3 linked regions of the Canis lupus familiaris genome follow. The main gene of each other region encodes a partner of the protein of the gene in region 2 in a complex. Links are inferred from orthologs where the notes say so. Each region holds a gene or a part of one and is shown on either strand. Other genes may lie near its edges.

What was found.
Region 1: TAF1B (region 2) and UBTF share a complex: the UniProt entries of both Homo sapiens proteins name them as parts of the pol I pre-initiation complex. The link is inferred for Canis lupus familiaris from reciprocal best matches to the Homo sapiens genes TAF1B and UBTF.
Region 3: TAF1B (region 2) and POLR1H share a complex: the UniProt entries of both Homo sapiens proteins name them as parts of the pol I pre-initiation complex. The link is inferred for Canis lupus familiaris from reciprocal best matches to the Homo sapiens genes TAF1B and POLR1H.

Annotation. Positions count from the first base shown.
Region 1 is NC_049230.1:19,048,866-19,056,250, reverse strand, and holds the start of UBTF (nucleolar transcription factor 1), read right to left. Parts: upstream 4,268-7,385; 5' UTR 3,864-4,267; intron 3,557-3,863; exon of another isoform or gene 3,399-3,556; intron 2,170-3,398; exon of another isoform or gene 2,038-2,169; intron 1,684-2,037; exon of another isoform or gene 1,559-1,683; intron 904-1,558; 5' UTR 836-903; coding exon 778-835; intron 1-777. UniProt on the Homo sapiens protein: Recognizes the ribosomal RNA gene promoter and activates transcription mediated by RNA polymerase I (Pol I) through cooperative interactions with the transcription factor SL1/TIF-IB complex.
Region 2 is NC_049238.1:6,877,813-6,885,292, reverse strand, and holds the start of TAF1B (TATA box-binding protein-associated factor RNA polymerase I subunit B), read right to left. Parts: upstream 4,659-7,480; 5' UTR 4,572-4,658; coding exon 4,554-4,571; intron 2,903-4,553; coding exon 2,804-2,902; intron 1-2,803. UniProt on the Homo sapiens protein: Component of RNA polymerase I core factor complex that acts as a GTF2B/TFIIB-like factor and plays a key role in multiple steps during transcription initiation such as pre-initiation complex (PIC) assembly and postpolymerase recruitment events in polymerase I (Pol I) transcription.
Region 3 is NC_049256.1:27,776,737-27,784,092, reverse strand, and holds POLR1H (DNA-directed RNA polymerase I subunit RPA12), read right to left. Parts: upstream 4,573-7,356; 5' UTR 4,527-4,572; coding exon 4,136-4,526; intron 4,052-4,135; coding exon 3,951-4,051; intron 3,653-3,950; coding exon 3,543-3,652; intron 2,489-3,542; coding exon 2,464-2,488; 3' UTR 2,420-2,463; intron 1,850-2,419; 3' UTR 1,497-1,849; downstream 1-1,496. Other genes in the region: E3 ubiquitin-protein ligase PPP1R11, read right to left, coding at 320-388; putative uncharacterized protein ZNRD1-AS1, read left to right, coding at 6,513-6,736, 6,917-6,992. UniProt on the Homo sapiens protein: Core component of RNA polymerase I (Pol I), a DNA-dependent RNA polymerase which synthesizes ribosomal RNA precursors using the four ribonucleoside triphosphates as substrates. Can mediate Pol I proofreading of the nascent RNA transcript.

The sequences.
Region 1 (7,385 bases), on a different chromosome or scaffold from region 2:
GTTGTCTTCTGGGTCCAACTCCCCATGGAGGCAAAAAAAAGGGGGAGGGGGGGTCTGAACCAGCTATTTCCAGCCACTGAACTAGCCTCAGCAGGCCTCTCTGGAGGGTGGCTACCCTGGAAGGTAAGTTAGGAGAACAACCAGGACTAGGAGTCAAAAGGGCTCTTCATTTGCATTTGCATCTGGTAACCAGGGTCAAGGTTGCCACAGGGTGGGTCACATGGACCAATAATCCTCAGTCCTCTCAGCGTCCCAGTCAGGGCCAGATGCTCAGCTTCATCCAACCCCCTGCCCCCATCGGCACAGGATCTCTCCTGGATGGGGTAGGATCTAGTTATGGACCTCCTATGGCTTGGAGCCTCAAACCACCAAAATATCCTGTCTCCACCTGCCTCACCCAAAACCTTGTCCTCTGAATAACAATAAAACACCTGAAAAGCCTTGCCAATCCCTCCCTTCTCCCCCTCCCCCCCATTGCTCATCCTTCCTCCCATTCCAGGACTCTGGGTGAGGAAAGGACAAACTCTGGCCAGATGGGAATCCCAGAATGAAGGCTCCCATAAGACTCTCTCTCTAAGTGGGAGAATGAAGTGTGGAAAATATAGTTTATAGCCTCAAGGCCAAATAACTTGGGTTTAGCCAAACTTGACTCATAAAACTGAAGATACCCCCCTCACCTCGATTCAGAGAACAGGGACTGTCTAACCCCTTTCGAAGGAGAGGGGGTCCCGCAAACAACCATGTGGGAAAAGAGGACGTAAGTTAAAGTGCTCCTACCTTGGCCTTTGGGGGCGGCCATTTCCAGGTCTGTGGGGCAGTCAGCTTCTCCGTTCATTCTTTAGCCGTCCAGCCTCCTCCTTGGGTCGTGCTGGCCGGGCAACCCGCGGTCAAAACCACCTCACCCTTTAGAAGAGACACCAGTCCCCACTCAGGCGGGATGCGAGGTGAGGGACTTTCTATTCCTCCCTCCCCCAAGGGGGAGGGGGGCACAAGTCCGCACTTTAACGGAGACCCTGCCAAGACCCTAGTAGACCTAAAGGGTCTGTGGGTGTGGGAGTGCGCCCCCCCGCGCCCCTGCAGCCCGGCTCCACCGCGTGCGCCCTCCCCTGCCCACGCGAGAGACTGCTCCCAGCTCCCGCGTGCAGCGAGCGCCCGCCCTCCGCCCTCCTTCCCCCACCCGGGCCAAAAAAAAAAAAAAAAAAAAAAAAAAATCTCCTCCTCCTCTGTGCGCCCGCCCCGGGGAGGCCCCAGGCTGGAGGGCGGGGGAGGAGGAAGGGCGGGTAAAGGGCGCGCGCGGCCGCGGAAGCGGGCGCGCGCCGCAGTCTCCTCCTCCCGCCTCCCCCCGGCCGGTTCCCCCCGCCTCCGCAACCCGGCGGGGACCCGGACGCAGCGCAGCCGCCACCGGCCCCGGAGCGTAGCGGCCGCACCGCCCCCGGGGACCGGATCCGGATTCCCGCCGCCCCCCCTCTCGGGCTCCCGACGCCGTCCCCGCCCGCCTGGGCGGGTGAGCAGCCGGAGAGAAGCGGCCTAGCCTGCCCCCCGCCCCCGAGCCACCCACCCCGGCCGGAGGCGCCGCCACCGCCCAGCCACCCCGACGCACACGGAGGAGCCCGCCGCAGAGGCGCGACCACGGCGGGAACCGCCGCCTCCTCCCCCGAGCTTGCGGCCCAGCCCCGCCGGCGCCCCCGCCCCGGCCTCCGGGGAGCTGAGCCAAGGAGAGGGCGGGAGGACGGCGGCCGGGAGGCGGGGGCGCAGCGCTCACCGGCCCCGCCGCCCCCTCCGGCGGCCGGCGAGAACTGCGCCTGCCGGCTCGGAGAAGCGCGGGCTCCTGTGCCCGCGGCCGGGGCTCGGCTCGGGCCTCGCTTCCTGCCCTCCCCTCCCCCGGCTCTCGGCGTCCTCTCCAATGCCCTGATCCTCTTTCGTCCAGTCCCCTGCCTGGAGGGCGGCCCGGGTCTCCCCCGGCGTCTACGGCACCCGCGGTTCGCTCCCCGCCGCCCGGCCCCGACCCCGGCGCGCGTCCTCAGCCGCCTCGGTTACCCGGCGCAGCGCGGCCTCCGGGCTTCCCGCTCCGGCGGCTCCCTCCCCGGCTCTGAGCGGCGGCGCCCTCCCCCGCTCGGCCGGGCACAGCCGCAGCTCCCTCCCGCGGCGGCAGCGGCTCCTCCTCCGGGCGCGGCGGCGGCGGCGCTGGGGCGGCGGCTGCTGCTGTGGCGGCGGCGGCGGCTGTGGCTGCTGCTGCCTGCTGCTCCTCGCGGCGAAAAGCACAAAGCACAGCGCCCTCCGCCTGCAGGCAGCCCGCCCGCCGCCCGCCCGCCGGCCCCGGCCTCAGCTCGCACACCCCCCGCCGCCGCCGCAGCCTCCGCCGCCGGAGCGGGGAGGAGGAGGGAGAAGGGAGGAGGAGGAGCGGGAGGGGGGGCGGGAGAAGCGGGGCAGCGAGCGCGTCCTTCCCCGTAGAGCGCACACCGACCCCCGGGGAGCGAGCGCCAGCCCGCCCGCCTCGCCGGCTCCGCTCCCTCCCACAGCCTGCCCGGGCGGGCTCCGCGGGGGGCAGCTGGGAGGAGGGGCGGGAGCTGGGGGGACCCGGGCGGCCGAGGCGGAGGGAAGGAAGGAGGGGAGGGGGGTGGTGGTAGTGGTGGTGGTGGTGGTGGTGGCGGCGGTGGCGGCGGCGGCGGCGGCGGCGGCGGCTGCTGCTGCTGCCGGGGAGGGGGGGCCGGGGCAGGGAGACACGCAGCCGCCCGGATGGCGGCGGGGCTCGGAGCCGAGGCGGGCGGGCGGGCGCCGAGAGCGACCTCGCCAGACCCGCGGGGGAACTAGCAGGCTCGGCCGGCGCGGGAGGGAGGGCGCGAGGCGCGGCCGCCAGAGACGGTGCCCGGAGGGCCCCCCGGCGGCCGGGGAGGCTGAGGGGGTGCCCGCAGCCCTGCTTCGGAGCTCTCCCCCAAGTCCTCCCAGCTAAGATTCGGGTTTCCACGGCAGTCCTCACCCGCTCCCTTCTCCCGCCTCCTGGAGCGGGCGCTCCGCGCCCACCCTCATCCCCGGAGCGTGGCCACCGGCTTGGGGCGCACGCACGCCCATCCCGGCGCCAGGCTTCGGCGCCTACCTCGCGGTCCCCTTGCTTCCGAACAGCACACACACGAAACTTAAAAAAAAAAAAAAAAAAAAAAAAACCGTACAAAATGCCCTGCCTGCAAATTAAAAAAAAAAAAAAAAGAAGTCCCCTTTGCTCCTTTACACCCCGGAAACGGCGAGGGGGCGATGGGGTCCGGCGGAGGAGCTGCTCTGGGAGCCGGTTCAATCCAGCCCGGCATGGCTCCCCAGGCCTGCCCGGGCGCATGGAGATCGGCGCCGCCGCCACTCGCAGCAACCCCTCTCCCCCGAAATCCGCGGAGCCCGGGCTCACTTACCGAGCGTGTGAATGGGAGCGCGGGCCAGGGGCGCCTAGGGGTGCGGCGGGCCGAAGAGCGGAGCCGCAGCTCCGCCGCAGCCGACGCCGGGGCAGCGAGTCGCCAGACAAAGCCCGAGATGGCGAAGCGGAGCGACGGCTAATGGCGAGCCCCACGCGCCGCGCTCCGCCCGCCCCGCTCCGCCCGCCCGCCCGCCCGCCTCGGCGCAGCGCAGCGCCGCTCCGAGCGCTCGCCCGTCAGAGCCGCCTCGGCGCCGCCGCCTCCCGGGCCACCCCGGCCTCGCCTGGCCCCTCCGCCTCCTCCGGGCCACTCAGCCTCACCCCCTTCCCTCCCACCGCGATGGGGGCTGCACGAAAATAAAAAAAGAAAAAGAAAAAAATGCTTTTCTTTCTTTTTTTTGGTGGGGGGGCAGGGCGGGCGTGTTGAGACTTTTGGGGTTTTTTTTTGCCCCCAGCTCGCACTCACCTGCGGAGCCGCCGGGAGGGCTGGGGGTGGGGGCGCGCGGGGCTGGAGCCGGCGAGCGCGGGTTGAAAGCTAGCCAAGCTCTGCAGCGCCCGACCCGGGCGTATACGCCGCCGCCAGTCCCCGCAGAGAAATCGTCCTCCTACCCCCGCCTCCATCGCTCTGCGTTTCTCTTCCAATCAGCCGGTCGCTTGGCGGCTCCTCCATTCTCCGGCCAAGCCCGCTGCCTAGAGCGAGCTCCACTCCTCCATCTGCTAGCCCGGTTCCTGGCTCCCCTGCCGGGGCCGGCGAAGCGACGTAGGGCCGGAGGGGGATTTGCGAGGGAACCTGCCTGCTTCCCGCTCCCATTGCTCCCTCCCCGCTGCCTCCTGCCTCCTGCTTCTCTCCTGCGTCTTTCCAACTCTCCCCTGTCGCCACTGGTGTGTGTCTGAGTGTGTGCGCGGCTTTTTTTTTTTTTTTTTTTTTTTTTTATTGCTCTTTGCTTTTGCAACCCTGAAGCCAAAGCGAGGGGGTGGGGGATAAAGGAGGGGGGGGGGTTACAAAAAAAAAAAAGTAAGAAGCTCTTAGATTTGCAACACATTGAAAAACCGGGGGAGCACCCCGCCTCGCCGGATCTCGGCTCCCCGCGAGGGCCTTCCGGGTTTTAGAGCGAGCCTCTCGTTGTTCTCAACGCCCCTCACCTCCTCCGGGTTTAGGATCCGAGGTGTCCGATCAAAAAGTTCTCCCCTTGGGCCGTAGCAAGGGGTGTCAGGGTGGGAATTAGGGGGATTTCTCAAGAAGCAGTAGCCTCCCCCCACCCCCCACCCCGGTTTCGGTAGTTGGGCCGGGGTTGGGGCGGAGAGCGTGATCCCGGTGGGTCTGCGCCAGGAGCTTCCGGGGCGAAGCGGGAGCCAGGAGACCGCGCTTCGCGCATCTCCCCCTCGGTCTCTGCCTCCAGTCCCCTGCCAGCTCCCCCTTTAATTTTTTTTTTTTTTTTCCTCTCCTTTAATCTAATTTCTTCCAACTCCACCTTTGTTGTTACCGGCGTCACGCCCGGACCAGCCAATCCCCGCCATGCAATCAGCTTGTCAAAAAGGCTCGGCCAGCCCTGGGAAAGCAGGCCGCGGGCGCTGGGCCCCCTCCTTCCCCCAGCGGCGGCGGGGAGCCGCGAGGGGAGCCTGGCACCCGGGCCCCGCCGCCCGAGCCGCCGCGGGGCAGCCTTCGCCCGGGCCTGCGGCACTCCGCCGTCCTGCGGCTCCGGGGGCGAGAGGCCGGGGCGGGGACCGCCATCCGCCCTCCCGGGGCTGCCGGCTGCGGTCGTCGGTCTCTGCCTCCCCTCTTCCGAGGCAGCAGGGTTGTCAGGACGCAGGGAGCCGGAAGACGAAGAGCGCCCGCTTCCCACAGGCGAGCCTGCGGTCTGGGCCGCCGCTGCCCGCGCAGCGCCATCGCGCCGGGCTCCGGGGCTCCCGGGCTGCCCGCCTCCCGCACCGACTCTGCGGACTGCCCGCACCGCGGCCAGCCGGGGCGCCGGCCCCTCCGGACTCTCCGCTGGCACACAGCCTTCTCCATCCTCACTCAGCGGCCTCCCTGCCGCTGTAATTCCTCTTGTCTCCTGGGAGAAATGAGATTCCTTTCCCAGGACTTCCACAGCCCACATCTGCCACGTCTTACAAACAGGGAGGAAAACCTTGTCAAGATCTGGTGTGACCGGATTTTTGAGTGGGCAGGGCACGTAGGAGAGGCCGGTTGACCTTGTTGCTAATGAAGCTTCAGCTCATGGCCCCTCATTTGCGGGGCCTTGTAGTGCCCTGTTCTTAATTTTATTTCATTGTTGGGTATTATTTTTGTTAAAGACCCACACATACACACATTGTACAGCTCAAGTCTGCACAAATCCAGCTCTGCCCTTGGAGCCTACTCAGAGCATTTTGTGTAGGATCAAACCACCTCACACTGTACTTAGAAAACGGACTGACTTTCGTATGTGTGTTTTAAGATTTTATTTATTCATGAGAGACACAGAGAGAGGCAGAGACATAGGCAGAGGGAGAAGCAGGCTCCCTGTGGGGAGCCCCATGCAGGACTGGATCCCAAGACCCCCAAGATCAGGACATGCGCCAAAGGCTCAACCACTGAGCCACCCAGGTGCCTCCTGACTTTCTTGTTTTGTCTGGGAAAGAGCAAAGGGTTTAGAGTCAGAAGTCACAGCTCCCAGCTTCTCAGCTTCCCCACCCTCTTAAGCAGTGTGTGTTTGATCACATCTCTTAACCTCATCTGCTGATACTGTTTCCTTGTCTATAAAATGAGAATAGCAAACCTGCTTTCTCTGCTTTCTTCCCCAGGGGTTGGAGAGTCACCCGAGATGATGTATATAAACTGTAGGTGGAATGCTCCACAATGTCACTTGCCACAACTGAGAAACTTGGATCCCAAGAAAGGCCCAAGTCTTTTACACACAGATCTAGAATCCAGGTGTCCTGGCTCCTGGCCCTGAGCTTCTTGGCTGGGCCAAGGGGCCTTTCGGTAAAGTGCTCTGGAATAAAACAGGATGAACATGAATCATAAAAATGATTATTATTGATTTTTCATTCCTTGGGCAGCAAAAAAAAAAAAAAAAAAAAAACCCATCTGGCACTCTTCTCACTTGGAAACCAACTGCCTTGTTTTACATCTATTGTGTCTCTCTGGTGAGGTCAAGAGTCTAGGACTTGGGACATGGGCCAGACTCTGAGGGAATCTGCCCTTGGTCCTTCTTCTTTGCCCCCTCTCCTAATTTACCTTCCCTCCCTTCCAGTTTTCCACCCTGTACCTTGACACAAAGCCTTAGCCTTCCATACCTCCAGCCAGGCTGGTGACAAGGCATAATCCTAGCTACACACTCTCCACTTGGCCCCAGCACTTCTCTGGGTTGCCAGTATCCCAGCAGGAGCTCACATCAAACCCCTAGTGTGCCTGGAATGCGTTAACCAAAGTGTAGTGTTTGAATTCCTTGTGTACGTGAAGTAATTTTATTTATTTATTTATTTAATTTATTTCGTGGTATACAGATGAACATTATTTTCAAACATGTGTCCTTTAATGTGTATTGGAAATGTTCTGCTTTTTATTTTTATTTTTTATTTTATTAGTTTTTAAAGACTTTATTTATTTATTCATGAGAGACAGAGAGAGAGCCAGAGACATAGGCAGAGGCTGAGGCAGAAGCAGGCTCCCCACTGGGACTCCATCCCAGGACCCTGGGATCACAATCTGAGCTAAAGGCAGATGCTCAACCACTGAGCCACCCAGGTGCCCCTAAATGTTCTGTTTTTTAATGTTTATTCAAGATAATGACATAAAGATGTCTTCCTTTTTTTTTTTTCCTGAGCTGCTGTCCCTTATTTTTTCCTAAAAGATTTTATTTATTTATTTGAGAGAGACAGAGAGAGGGCAGGAGGAAGGGGGAGAGGGAGAAGGAGAGGGAGAAGCAGGCTCCCCCCTAAGCAGGGAGCCCTGTTCCAGCCTGGATCCCAGGACCCCACAGGAATCATGACCAGAGCTGAAGGC
Region 2 (7,480 bases):
TTTAAAATAAAACCTGAAGTTAAAATCAAATTTTTTCCATTTTTCCACCATCCAACCACACTCTGGAATTAAGAGAACTGTATTTTTTGTAACCAGCAATGCCTATGTTACATACAGATTCATTTTATCCTGCTTTTCTATGTATTTGAATAATATAGTTTTCATTTCTGAAATTATAAAAGTACTACTTTTTATTTTTAACCAAACCTACACAATTTTAGAATGACTGAATAGGGACTATAACTCATCCCATAGTCTTCAACTCCAAGTGCTCTCAAGGGCTGCTGCCTAAGATTCTGCCTCTCTCATAACCAAAATATAAAAGAATTAAGTCTTGGGCTAGTATCCAAGATCTATAAAGAACTTATTAAACTCAATAGCAAGGAAACAAACAATCTCGGGGTCATGAGATCAAGCTCCACATCGGGCGCTGTGCTCAGCCAGGAGTCTGCTGGAGTGGAGATTCTCTCCCTCTGCCCCCTCCCCCTGCTTGTACTCTCTCCCTCTCTCTAAAATAAATAAGTTAATTTCACAAAAAAGAAAAGAATGCTTCTTTCTTGACAAGTTACTCTATACAGGTTCTCTTTCAAATGTAGAACTCGGTAGTCCAGTAGTATTAAGATCTTTCAAGTTAAAATGACTGCAGTAGATTTTATCATTTAGAATCAAATAGGAACATTATCAAAGACAGAAATAAAAGAGGCAATTAGTTAATGTAGTTTAATTTCTACAAAAATAGCACACTGACTTCATCTACTAATGGCAAACAGTCCAATTAGACACAATCTTCCTTCACTACCTTTACATTTGCATTGCTGCTACAAAAACAACCGTGGGTAAAACTGCTAGTGCCTTACATGCATCAAAGCAAAGAGGATCAAACTGCATATATTTAAAGTGTATGCATTGGGGCCCCTAGGTGGTTCAGTCACTTGAGCGTCTGACTCTTGGTTTTGGCTCAAGTCATGACCTCAGGGTCATGGGATCAGGCCCCAATATGCTGAGTAAGGAGTCTGCTTGAGAATCTCCCTCTGTCCCTCCCCCACTAGTGTTCCACACACTCTTTCCCTCTCTCTTGAAAATAAATAAATCTAAAAACTAAATAAAGTGCAAGGGCACCTGAGTGGCTCAGTCGGTTAACTATCTGCCTTCGGCACAGGTCATGGTGCCAGGGTCCTGGGATTGAGTCCCACATCGGGCTGCCTGACCAGCAGAGTATTTCTCCCTCTGCCTCTCCACAACCCCCCCCCCCCACCAGCCATGTTCTCTCTTAAATAAATAAATAAAATCTTTAAAATAAATAAAGTATATGAGTTAATGTGTATATGTATGCATATTCATGTATCTATACAAATACATACATATCTATACATCTTTACAAAACCATCACCATAATCAATGAAATATCCACCATCCACAAAATTTCACTGTGCTAGCATCTTTTTAATATTCTGTGTAACTTAAATGAAGCAGGCACAACAACTTCAGCTGCCTACTGAAGAACAATGATTGTTTCAAGAAAAGCTCTGTATAAGAAACAAAGTATATTAGGCACTTTCCCCAAAGGAAATTTTTTTTTTTTTTTTTTTTTTTTTTTAGTTTTTTTATATATTATGCCCAAGTTTTCAGTTGTTTAAAGTAGGAAAATAGGGATCCCTGGGTGGCGCAGCGGTTTGGCGCCTGCCTTTGGCCCAGGGCACGATCCTGGAGACCCGGGATCGAATCCCACGTCGGGCTCCCGGTGCATGGAGCCTGCTTCTCCCTCTGCCTGTGTCTCTGCCTCTCTCTCTCTCTCTCTCTCTGTGACTATCATAAAATAAATTTAAAAAAAAAAAAAAAAAATTTAAAGTAGGAAAATAAATCTAGTCCCTGCTACTCCATCTTGGCCAAAAGCAGAAGTCTACACAGTTACTTTTATCTGTCTCAAATTTGCCTTTCTTAAGTCTATGTGGTAAATGTAATATTTGTTCTTTCCTGGCTTTGGAGACTTTGAGCAAATCTTTTTCCAAAGTGGAGCCCTGGCATGTTTACCTGTCCAATAGCTGACTGTCCACACCCTTGATTATTTTGGTTATATTGCCCTGAATGTGTGGTGATTAGAACAGGACCTAACACTCACTCCCAGTGTGAAGGGGGCCTCATTTACCAAGGTTATATCAGACAGTATGACAATCTCTAGTGTAAGAGGCAGGTGTGATGGGGTAAAATGAGCACTGTAGTCACAAGACTCAGGTTCACGTCCTGGCTCAACACTTTATACTTGTGTGACTTTGGCAATCTCATTCAACTCCTGAGCCTTACTTGCCCCATCCATGGATTGGCATGGTACTATATCTCACAGGTGTTTATGAGGAGGAAATGAAATAATGAATAAGACTTTGTAATTTCTAAAGTACTGTACAAAGATAAAATGATAATGAAGCATATTTCCAATATTCCCGTCTTCAATCTTTACAACATTCCATCTTCCAAACCTCTAAGCTACCACAACACATAAAAACTTATATAGGTATTAACAAATAAAGAGAAATGCATCACCTTATAAGTACAATTTTAATTATTTTCCCTTATATTACACAGTCTGAATCATGAAATTATTTATAAATGCAGCCCAACATCTTTTCAAAAACCCATCCTAAATCTAATTCCTTAACTCACGTGTAAACACTTGAAGACTACTTACGTTCTTGGAATTTGGGCAGTACATGAGTGACAATGATTATTTGGGAACTAGGCTACATATCAGGCTAAAATAGCAATTTTTAAAACATTAGCAGACTCATAAATGATCTATATTACTTACTTCTGTAACGTTGTGGCAAGAAGTGCAATAATATTTGCCTTCATCAGTAAGACCCCAGGAGACAGCAGCACACTGAGTACATCTTTCCTTGAACTCTTTCTATAGAATATAGAAAAGCTGTTACTATCAAGCCATATTCAACACACTGCACCTAAACCCTGCAGTTCTACTTAAAGGGTTCCCTGGAATTTTAACCTACAGATTAAAAGAAAAAAAGGAAGGAAGGAAGGAAGGAAAGAAGGGAGGGAGGGAGGGAGGAAGGGAAGGGAAGGAGGGAGGGAGTGAAGAAAGAAAAATGTATCCAAGAGATTAACTATAAACAAAGAGAAAGAAAGAAAAATGTATCCGAGAGATTAACTATAAACAAAGAGAATAGTTCAGTCTTTTGAATAGTTTGAAGTGGAATTAAATGATTTAAAAAGTTTCTAAAACACAGTGTGTGAAGGGGGAAAAAGAGGAAGAAAAGGTGGTAGGGGTAAAATGGGAAAAAAGGATGAGTTACTAAAACTGCAAAGTGCTGTGAGAAAAAAAAAAGAGGACAAGATTTAAGTAAAGACAAAACCTTAAAAATAAAAACTGCAAACCATTTGGAACTTTCTCAATGATACTAGAAACACATACAGCAAAAGAACCAGATTTTTATTGGGGTTGTTCCGAGTTTCGATTTATTCATCCAGCAATATAAGGAGCATCACCTGTGTACGCACGAGGCATTTAACTAGGGGCCGGGGATTCAGCGGTGAGCAAAACAGACGTGATCTCTACTCACAGCAAACACGGGCTAATGGTGAGATACAGTCACTAATTTCATTAACCCAGCACGTACGGACGTTAGCCTCCATCATCCAACAAACATTTATTGAGCATCTATAACAAGTAAGGCCTTCTATCACCCTAACGCTTCTGTACCTACACAGGCAGACCCTAAAAGGATGGGTCTTTGACCTTCTCTTTGATCTAATTGCCGAATACTCCTTTACCGCAGCACAAGAGAGCAGTGGTTGGCGCAGTGTGTCAACAACAACAAAAAGGAATGCGGAGGGGCACCTGGGTGGGTGGCTCAGGGCGTGACCCCGGGGGGTCCTGGGATCCAGTCTCGCATCAGGCCCCTCCCTGCAGGGAGCCTGCTGCTCCCTCTGCCTGTGTCTCTGCCTCTCTCTCTCTCTCTCTCTCTCTCTCTGTGAGTCTTGAATGAATGAATGAATGAATGAATGAATGAATGAAATCTTTAAAAAAAATGAACCCGAATTTATTTCAACAACAATCAATAAATAAAATCTTAAAAAAAAAAAACCGAACCCGAATTTATTTCAACAGGCCGGTGAAGTGTGCGGTGCCCGCGTCCTGATCACCTGGATAAATTACCCTGGAGAGTTTGGAATCACCGGACGGTGGCGGGGATGCCGAGGGACAGTTGCGGGGTGGCTGGGGGGGGGGGGGGGGGGGACTCAGGAGCCAGCCCGTCGGACCCGGCTCTCCCACGCCCACCCCGCCGTCCAAGGAAACTTGCGGGTGGCCCGGTCCAGAGGGGATGGGCCCGTGGGTGGCCACCCCATAAAACCCACAACTCCGTCCTCCTCCAGAAACACACCCACGTGGACGCCCCGCCCTCCCTCACCCCCACGCTCACCGGGCCCGAAACGCCGGCCTCTGTCCCCGAAGCGCGCGCCCCCCCCCGCCCCGCCCCGGCCGCGCCAGCGCTTTCCCCGCCCCGCAGCCTTCCGCCTGCCCCGCTCCGGCCCGTGCTCACCGCCTCCTCCAGGTCCATAGCGGTGGTGGTGCCGCCGCCGCCGCCCCCCGGCCGGGCCCGTTACCCGGGCAGCGAGCGCAGCTTCCGGGAGCGCCGGAAGGGGCCCGCCGGGCGGAAACCCAGACCGCGGCTTGGGGTTCCGGGCGCCTGGGGCTGCGGGTTCGTCTCCGCGCGCTGCGGGGAGCAAGCCCCGCGCGCCCTGCAGCCCCAGCCCAGGCTGCTCTCCTCCGCCCCGGCGACCGCCCTGCAGCCCACGTCGGAAGGAGGCCGCTCGCGCCTCCCGCTGAGCCCGCCGGGTCCCAGCGTGGACGCCGCCGCCCCGTCGGGCTTTCACAGGCGCGGGAGCGGCGTGGGCTCCGGGAGGGAGGCGCGCGCTCGCGGAGCTGGGCCCCGTGCAGGCCCCGTGTGGGCGCCCTGGGCCTCGGTTTCCCCCGCCGTCAGACTCGGCTACTGGCTGCCCCGGGTAGTTGGAAGCTGGGGGAGGAGTCTACACCGTCTGGCCCCTGCTTTCAGCCCGACGCTCGAGGGGAGAAGAGTCCGACCGGGGCAGAGGCAGAGGTGGAGAGAAGGCCAGGTCCGCGGGGGCTTGCGCAGGATGAAGGTGCGGGAGACCGCGGGAAGCTCGGACATTCTGGAGATGCGGGCTTCGAAGGGCCACGAGGATGCCCGACGGGCGGGAGGAGAGAGAGGCAGGGATGACCGCAGGGTCTCGGGCCTGAGCGGCCTGAGCGCCTGGGAGGGGTGAAGCCCGACTGAGCAGGGCCAGGCCGCGCGGGGACAGCGTGGGAATCGGGGAGAAGAGGAAGCAGGAGGCCCAGGTAGGATGAGAGGACAGCTTGATCAGGGAGCCGAGCGCTCCCAGGTGACGTCTGGACTGGGAATGCTCTCGGCCTCGATGGTATTTAAAGTCCTGAGACTTTCGAGATCATCAAGAGACTGGCTCTTCGCGGCGCCTGGGTGGCTCAGCGGTTGAGCATCTGCCTGCAGCCCAGGGCGTGACCTGGAGACCCAGATCGAGTCCCACATCGGGCTCCCTGCAGGGAGCCTGCTGCTCCCTCTGCCTGGGTCTCTCGTGAATTAAATAAATAAAATCTTAAAAAAAATAAAAATAAAAAAAGACACTGGCTCTTTATTCACTCACTCCTTATTTGCTTGTCTATTTATTTATTTCACAGTTATTCAACATCCACTCTACGCCAGGCACTGTGCCAGCTATTGGGAAATGAGAGGACAGAGTCCCTGCCTACAAGAGCCATCCAGTCCAGTGCAACAGTCGGTCACATTATTTTATCATGGCACTAGACAAGTGTTCTGTCCAGTTGTGTCACCCATGTCATTTGCCAGGCTTGCCTCTGTGCGACTTGAGACTCTTTCTGAAAAACCTTACCTATCTTTACAGCATTAAGGATTGTCCTAGAAACAGCTTGACCATAAGCCTTTTCTTTTCTTTTTTTTAAAGATTTTATTTTATTTATTCATGGGAGAGAGAGAGGCAGAGACACAGGCAGAGGGAGAAGCAGGCTCCCTGCAGGGGGCCCGAGGTGGGAATCTATCAGGGTCTCCAGGATCATGCCCTGGGCTGAAGGCAGGCACTAAACCGCCAAGCCACCCAGAGATCCCCCAGCCTTTTATTTTCTAGATCAGCCCTGATTTTAAAATGTTGAAATGTTAGAACAGGAAGTGACAGTACTGAATGCGCTACTAAAGAGTTTAGGCATTGAACTAAAATATGAGACCAGGAATCTTTGTCTTTTTGTTTATTGCTATATATCCAGGGCCTGGAACAGTACTTAGCTCACAGGATGCGATCAATAAATATTTGTTGACTGGGTGAATGACTTTGTAAGATGTTCATGTATATGCAAAATAGTTTAAATAGATGACATACCTTGATTTAAGACTTTGGTCTGGGGGTGCCTAGGTGGCTCAGTGGTTAAGCCTCCAGACCTTAAGGCCCAGGGCATGATCCTGGAGTCCTGGGATCGAGTCCCACATCGGGCTCCCTGCATGGAGCCTGCTTCTCCCTCTGTCTCTGCCTCTGTCTCTCTGTCTCTCTCTCTATCTCTCTCTCTGTGTCTCTCATGAAAAAATAAATAAAATCTTTTTTTTTTTTTTTATGATAGTCACAGAGAGAGAGAGAGAGAGAGAGGCAGAGACACAGGCAGAGGGAGAAGCAGGCTCCATGCACCTGGAGCCCGATGTGGGATTCGATCCCGGGTCTCCAGGATCGCGCCCTGGGCCAAAGGTAGGCGCCAAACCACTGCACCACCCAGGGATCCCTAAAATCTTTTTTTAAAAAAAGACTTTGGACTGTGGTTGCACAGAAATGAGTCACAGAGTTTTCCAGCCATTTTTCACAGAAAATTGAGTGTTTTAAAAGAGCAAAGTCAGCCCTTTAGAAGAAAATGTTTTCATAGCCTATAAGACTTATAGGAGGATTTTAACAGACAAGCTTTAGTACGCAGTTCTTAAAACTCTGGCTCAGGTGGCCATTTTTGTCCAATTGACACAATTTTTTATGTGTAATAGAAATGATCAGTGGTGGAAGCACTCAGTGAGCTGGACTCCACCTTATGCTGCAGGTGAGCATGAATGTGTTTTTTGTTTTTTGTTTTTTTAGGATTTTTTTTTATCCATTTGACAGACAGAGTGAGAAAGTATTGGGGCTGGGGGCAGAAGGAGACTTCCCACTGAGCAGTGAGCCTACTCAGAGATGAGCTAGATCCTGGGACTCAGAGAGCACAGCCTGAGCCAAATGCAGACACTTAACCAACTGAGTCACCCAGGCACCTCATGGGTAAATTTCTGAAGAACAGTTGAGCTATATACAGGTGATATGGTGGAGCAACACTGGGGTAACCCCAAGAAGAGAAAACAAAAATAAAATTAAAACAGAGATAATAAACCTTTAAAGGGACCCAGGAGTC
Region 3 (7,356 bases), on a different chromosome or scaffold from region 2:
GCTGCACCTCTTCGGACTCCCACATCATGCCCTGGTGTCCTCGAGGGGCGCTCACGGGCGGCCGTCCGTCAGGTGCTTCCCGACCCAGGGGGCGCCCCGGGGTCCCCCGCCCCGACTCTGAGCCTGTGGTGCGCCTTCTGCAACGGAACCACCGCTGGGCCCTGCCCCCGGGGTCCCCCTAGGCTCCCGCGCCAGCTCCGAGTCCCCAGCACGCCCCCCCCCCCCGCCCGCCCCCTCCGCAGCCCTGACCCCGCCCCGCCCCCGCCCCCGGCCCGTCCCCGTCCCCGCCGCGGGCGCCACCGTCCCCCGCCTTTCTCACGGGCTCAGTTGTCACGGTAACGGTGGTCTCCGTGACGGTCTCACTCAGCCCGGCTCCTGCCTCGGCCATGGCTGAGGCTGCGGAGAGGGCAGAGGGCGGCGGGGCAGGAAGCGGCCTTCCCGGTGTCTCCGAGCTCTAAGACGACCGGACCGGGATCGGGATCGGGATCGGATTCGGAGGAGCAGCCAGGACCCTCCAGCGCCTCGGCCCCTCCTCCTCGGCCTCCGCTTCCCCCCGGGGTAACCTGCCCAGCTCCACTTCCGGCTCGCCGCTTCCGGGTGTGACGCACTCCGCCGTCGCCGTCCCTTCCTGGCGCCGAAGGTCTCCGGACGCATGCGCCGCCGGACTAGTTCTCCCGTCACGTGACGGTGAGCAGGTGCCGCAGCCCGCAGAGAAGGCGACGCTGCGGGGAGCGGACGTTGCGCAGGCGCGGCCCGAGACCCGGCGGGAGCGCGGTCCCCGAGGGCCGCGGGGGCGGGGCGCAGGTCCCTGGCTGGGCGCAGGGTATGGGATGCGGTTACCCAGGTGCGTGGTGCGGGCGCCGGGACCCCCGCCGCGCGGCGCCTGGTCCCGGACTGGAGCACCGGCCCCGGAGCTCCAGCAGGTGCAAGCGCCAGGTCAGGGCTGGGCTCCCTTAGGCGCCGCCGGGAATCCCCCTCCCCCTCCTCGGCCTCCCGCAGTCCTCTGGGGGCCTCGTGGGTGTAGGAATAACGTGCGGGCTCTGAGATGCTGACGTGAGCGAGGCTGCGGGGCGTGGCGGTGAAATCCGCTACCGAGTGGCCCGCAAGAGCTACCGACAGCAGAGGCCGAGCTGCGGTCCACGGAGCACCTGCCTTTTTGTCGGGCAGAGATGGCCAAAGGGGCCTGGTTGGCAGGTGCGGGTGAGGCCAGGTGCGTGCTGCAGGCATGAGGTTCTGCAGGGAAAGCTTGGGGAGCCTGCACCAGCCGCGGCGGGAGGGGTGAGGGCCGCCGCCGGCGGTGGCATCCGGCAGCAACCGGGGAGGAGACTCTGGACGATGCCTGTTAACAGAAGTGGTCAGGGAAGTCCGCCCTGCCCGTCCCATCAGTTCCCACTACGTCGCCCGGGGCTCAGACACCTCAGGGAAAGTCTCAGAGCTCAGAACACACAAAGGACCGGGCAGTGTGCAAGCCAAGGAATGCAAAAATTGACTCCAAACTAAGTTTGAATGTTTATTGTGGCCGGACTACAAAATTTCGTTCAATGTGATAAAAAGCAAGATACAACTTGTATTCGTAGTAAAGCCCATTTAAAAAAAAAAAAAAAAGTATCTCTCTGAAGTAGGATTCCTTGTCATTTTTTACTCTACCTTTCCATATATGAATTTATCACAATGAATATACATTTATGTCAACAGCAATAAAAAAATACAATTTTCAAAATGTCCAATGTGTTCAGCATATACTGGTAAACCTTAGTATCAGACTTCTCCTTGTTCCAGCTCACACGTCAGACACATCTGGTTACGTTATCTGCTTATCTCCCAGCATCTGGGCTCCTGCTTTGTTTCCCTAAACTCAGGAACCAAATACATTTAGTCATGGAATACTTGTAATTACTTAAAAAAAAAAAAAAGATTTATTTATTTATGTGAGAGACAGAAATAGAGGCAGAGACATAGGCAGAAGCAGGCTCCCTATAGGGAGCTGGATGTAGGACTCAATCCCAAGACCCGGGAGATCATACCCTGAGGTGAAGGCAGATACTCATCCACTGAGACACCCAGGTGCCCATAATTACTTTTTATATTAGTCTCATTCCTGCCTCCATTTTTTGTCTTTGGTAGTTTCCTTTTTCCCTTTTCCTTCTCATACACTAATTTATACTATATTTTTTGTAGCTGATATACTTACTGAAAGAATATATTCTCTGTAAATCCATTTAAATTCCTTTTGGAACAAGACATTATAAATAACAGGTATGTCTGGCTTATATAGAAAAACGTAACCTTGATAAAGAAACTCAACTACAGTAGGTGTACTGTAGGGACAATGGTAATGCCCACATGATAATCTCTGTCTATGGGAGCAAAGCACTGCAACCAGGATAGACAAAGCATCTAAGAACCCAATATCCCTCACCTTTCAAGGAAGAGGGAGAACTGATAAGGTGCCCAGAAAGAAAATCAAGAGTCTTCCTTCTCCTGGAACCTATGGAGAAAGAAAGGACTCATTATATTTAGGCACAGAGGTTTTAGCAGTATAAGACAAACATTCACGTGAAAAATTAAGGAGGGAGTTTTATTTATGACATTGTAGATGACTAGCTCCCCGAAACAATCCTTCAAATTCAAGACAACTAAAAATCCTGGACTAAAAACCTAAAGGACAATGAGATAAAATCTCACACAGATCAAAATGGTTAAAAGTAATAAGTCAGGAAACAACAAATGTTGGCAAGGATGTGGAGAAGTGGGGAACCTTCTTGCACTGTTGCTGGGAATGCAAACTGGTGCAGCCACTCTGGAAAACAGTGTGGAGGTTCCTCAAGAAGTTAAAAATAGAGCTACCCTATGACCGGGCTGGATGAATCTGCACAACCTGCGACTGTTATCTTGGGGTTGAGTTCAAGCCCCACAGTGGATAGAGATTATTTAAAAACAAAATCTTAAAAAAAAAAAAAATTTATTTACTCATGAGAGACACAGAGAGAGAGAGAGAGAGAGAGAGGCACAGACACAGGCAGAGGGAGAAGCAGGCTCCATGAAGGGAGCCTGATGCGGGACTCGATCCCAGGACTCCAGGATCATCATGCTGTGGGCCGAAGGCAGGTGCTAAACCACTGAACCACCCAGGGATCCTGAAAGCTAGGTCTTGATAAGCGTGGTGAAAGTACAGAACACCGAAGACAAGGAGTTCTCAAATGGTTCAGGTCTCTCTGGTTCCTGAAATCACAGGTGATTCTCATAAAAGCAAGAGCACTGGAACAAGCAGCAGGATTCAACACGCAGACCACCCAGAAATACCTGCCTTCTCTCTGTTCTCACTCCTTTAAACAGCTTAAAAGCTTCGCTTCACTGGCTATAAAAAAAACTAACAAAAATGTTCTTTTTCAAAAATAAAAAAAAAACACAAATGTCCCTGTTACCTGAAAAGAGGACAGGACCAAAGGAAATAACCGGTTCTTGGGTACAAGAGGGAAGTCACAGGACATGTGTGGTTAAGGGCCAGAGGGAGAGGGCAGAGGGCCAGGGAGGGGGCACACCTGCAGCTGGTGCAGGTGTAGAAGACGGTCTGCCCCTCGTCAGCTGAGCGCATCTGTCTGGTGTGGTAGGCCATTCCCTCGTGACCACATCGGGAGCAGCGCCTGTCAACCTGGCAACCAAAGGGGGGGGGGGGTCAGGGAAAGCCAGGATGACCCCTGCTTCCTACAGGAATCTCGTTGCATGCTCTCCCCAGCACCCCTGCTCCAAAGACCTCTGTTTCCCCAGACCTCAGCACTCAACCCTGCAGCCCTTCCCGCTCTCCCTGTGGATCAGTGTTGGCATCACTCACTCACCACGGGTCGCTGGAGGTCGGGCTCCTCCTGCACACCCGTTACCCCAGACTCAGCACTCAACCCTGCATGTCTCCCCGCCTTCCTTGTGGGTCAGTGCTGGGGTCACTCACTCACCACGGGTCCCTGGAGCTCTGGCTCCTCCTGCACCGGCGCGGGCACCGCCGTCCCCACCTGGTTGAACACGATGCGGGTCCTCACCACCTTCCCCTCGAAGTCTGCGGAGCGGTAAGCGCTGGCTGCGGGCACCCCCGGACCCTCCGCCGCCCCCCGCAACCCGGCCGCTCCCGCCCCCTCCTCACCCCGCACGGGGACGCCGAAGCCACAGCGCACACAGGTGACCGCGTCCTGGGCCCCGGGCAGGGGCAGGACGGAGCCGCAGTCCGGACAGAAGTCCAGGTCCGACTGGAATCTGGAGCCGGAGGGCGCGGGGTCCATGGCGCAGAGGGTGCGACGGTGGGCAGCTCCGGTTCCGTCCAGGGACCCCGGCGGCCGCGAACCGAGCCCTCCTCCCTGGACGCGCGAGGCTCCGCGGGAGGACCGGCCGGCGTAGTGCGGTCCTCCAGGGCAGGTGAGAGCACCCGCCGAGCGGAGCGGGCTAGAGCATCCGCCGCGCAGACGCCCATTGGTCGTGACGTCACAATCCCTCGCCCAGACCGCAGTCCGCCGCGCCGGCGCCCTTGGGTGTAACATCACAATCCGGCGCCCAGACTGCTGTCCGCCTCGCCGGCTTCTGTGGGGTTGTGACGTCACAATACGTCGCCCCGACTGCTGTGCGCGGCGCTGGCGCCTTTGGCCGTGACGTCACAATCCGGCGCCCGGCGCCCCGAGAGCCCCAGAGCGGGGGTCGAGCGCCGTGGGAGACGGACGGAGGTGCCGACGCCGGGATAGGAGCTCGGGTAATGGCCGCTGCGCCTCCGGACACTCCATCAGGAAGAAGCGCAGTCCGGGGATACGTATTTTCTGGGACCCAACCTCGGGAGCGTTGCTTGTGGAGATGTTGCTGAGCTTCCCGAACGCCGCCGCGCCGCCCCGGAGCCAGTGGGCCCAGCTCCGCCCCGCCGGCCTGACGTGCCCAGGACATGCTCTAGGAGCGGGCGGGCCAGGGAGATGAGGGCGAGGGCCGGGGGCGGGGCGGGGCGGGGCGGGCGGCCCAGGCCCGGGGCTGACTTGGGGGCCGTCCCCCTCCGCCGCGCCCAGCGGGTCACCGGGGAGTGACGAGCACGGTTGCCGTTCCCGAGCGTAAGGCTCACGGTCGCTAGGGAGCCGAGCTGCGGCCGCTCGCCAGTAACCACCGTCTGCGGGGCACGAGGAGTTTCTGAGCCGCTGCCCCCGTGGCTCCCGTCCGCCTGTCCCCGCAGGACGTCGTTCTGTCCGGCTCGAAGGGGGCGGTCTGCCGTTTAGACCGCGAACGTTAAAATTAGCCTGTTAACCTCTTTGACTCTGCTCCCGACTCCGTGACCGTGCAGTGCTGCTCCACGCAGAGTCCAGCGCGATCCCGATGGGCCGGTGTCGTGAGGCCCGGGCCTTTCCAAGTGTCTGTGGAGCTGGGGCGGCACCGTTGGAAAGGATGCTGTGACCTCAAGGGGTACGAAGGACACGGTGGAACCCGCCACGAGAGACCCACACAGGGCCTAGGACTATGGTGTCTGCACCTCCAGGAGGACTCGCTGATGTTTCAGTAAAAACGTGGACATGGCACCTCAGGAGCAAAGGAGAAAGGTGCTCGAATACCAGCGACAAGGGAACCAGAAGATGAGTTCCAGAAACTGTTGCTGAACACAAACCGTGCTGGGTTGTGTTCTGAAAAGTAATAGGACGGTTACCTTTGTTAAATATCAGAATAGGTGTCCACGGACAGATAGGAACATAGGCAGGAAGTCAGTGAGATCCAATAACTGATACCAGGCTCATTCCAGTAACAGAGACACATCGTATTTGTCAATCTAAATTATAGATTACCTCCCGTTTACAGTCTAAATTTCAGCATGAAAGTGTTACAAATGATACAGGTATCACCATGGAAACCCTGGCTGGTTTTCAAGTGACTTAGGAATAATGTTTAAAAAACGTTGTGTTCAGAAGAAGGGAAAATCACTGTTACGTAGAATAGTCCGGAAAGACTTTACAGAGACTTGGGCTTGATCTGTGGAGGAGAGACCATTGCCAATTATTGAGGACTTACACTGTCTGTCCCAGGCTCTTTAATCTAGTTTATGTTTGTTTTTTATAAGATTGAGAAGCAGACCTTTGTCTCCCACATCCATCTTATAGACCAGGAGACTGACCCATTGTTACTTACCCAGAGCCACACCTCAGAGGTGGTGTGATTAGCGTTCAGACAGCCCTGTCAGGCTTCAAAGCCCACGCTCTTGCCATAAAGAGCCTGAAGGGCACAGAGATGAAATGCCAGGCATCCCCAGGGGCTTCAACACGACCTCACGGTAAACTCACAGTACACTAGGGATGACATATGAAAGGCTGGCAGTCTTCACTTGTGTTGCCGTCAGCCTGACCCACAAGAGAAGAGGGACCACTAACCAGTGCCAAGCCAGGGGACTCAATGGGAATGGTCTCATGGATTTGGGATGAAGGATGAGTGGCAGTGTAAGGCAGGGACACAGAGTCAGGGTGACCAGATAAGAAGAGAATTTCAGAACGGAAGGCTGGAAGGCAGAGATGCTATATGTGCTGATAGAGGCAGAGAGGGTCCGGACCCAGAAACTACAGAAGGAGGATGGACTGCGAACCCTGGAGTCAGGAAACCTCTCCGAAGACAGAGCCTGGGAGGCAGAGCGGTCTGATGGAGAGGTGCTGGGGCAGCACAGTAGCAAGGAGCCGCCTATGTCTTCCCGGCCCCAGACTCGGGACTCAGACTGGTTCACGTTGAGTCCTCGGGAGATGTGCGCTTCTACTTTCTGTGAAGGGTTTACGTGCTGGTCCCAGATTCTCCACCGTGGTAGTGCGGTGCTTTCCCATGGAGGAGGCAGACTTCTTGTCAGTCAGTTTGGTTAGGTCAGTGTGTGGGAAGATGTCCTGACGCCTCCCACGCTCTAATCTACCTCTGCTCTCTTATCTTACAGTTTGGCCTGGGCTAAAGCATCACCAGACCCTAGGATTGCCGTAGACCAACAGTCCCCACTGGAGAAAAAACTCCTGGTAAATCATCTTCATGTTGTGCACTTGGGAACTGCTAGGAGAAGTAGCCTTGGGTTTAAAACCCTGTGCAGGTGACCCCTCCCTGGTGGGTATGTTTACCTATATCCATACCTGCAAAACAGTATTCTGTTCAAAATGCCCAACACTAGGTCAGCCTGGGTGGCTCAGCGGTTTAGCACCACCTTGGGCCCAGGGCGTGATCCTGGAGACCCAGGATTGAGTCCCACATCAGGCTCCCTGCATGAAGCCTGCTTCTCCCTCTGCCTGTGCCTGTGCCTCTGCCTCTCTGTGTGTGTGGTTAAATAAATAAAATTAAACAACAAAAAAAAGAAAAATGCCCAACACTACATATTTTAAAACTAGT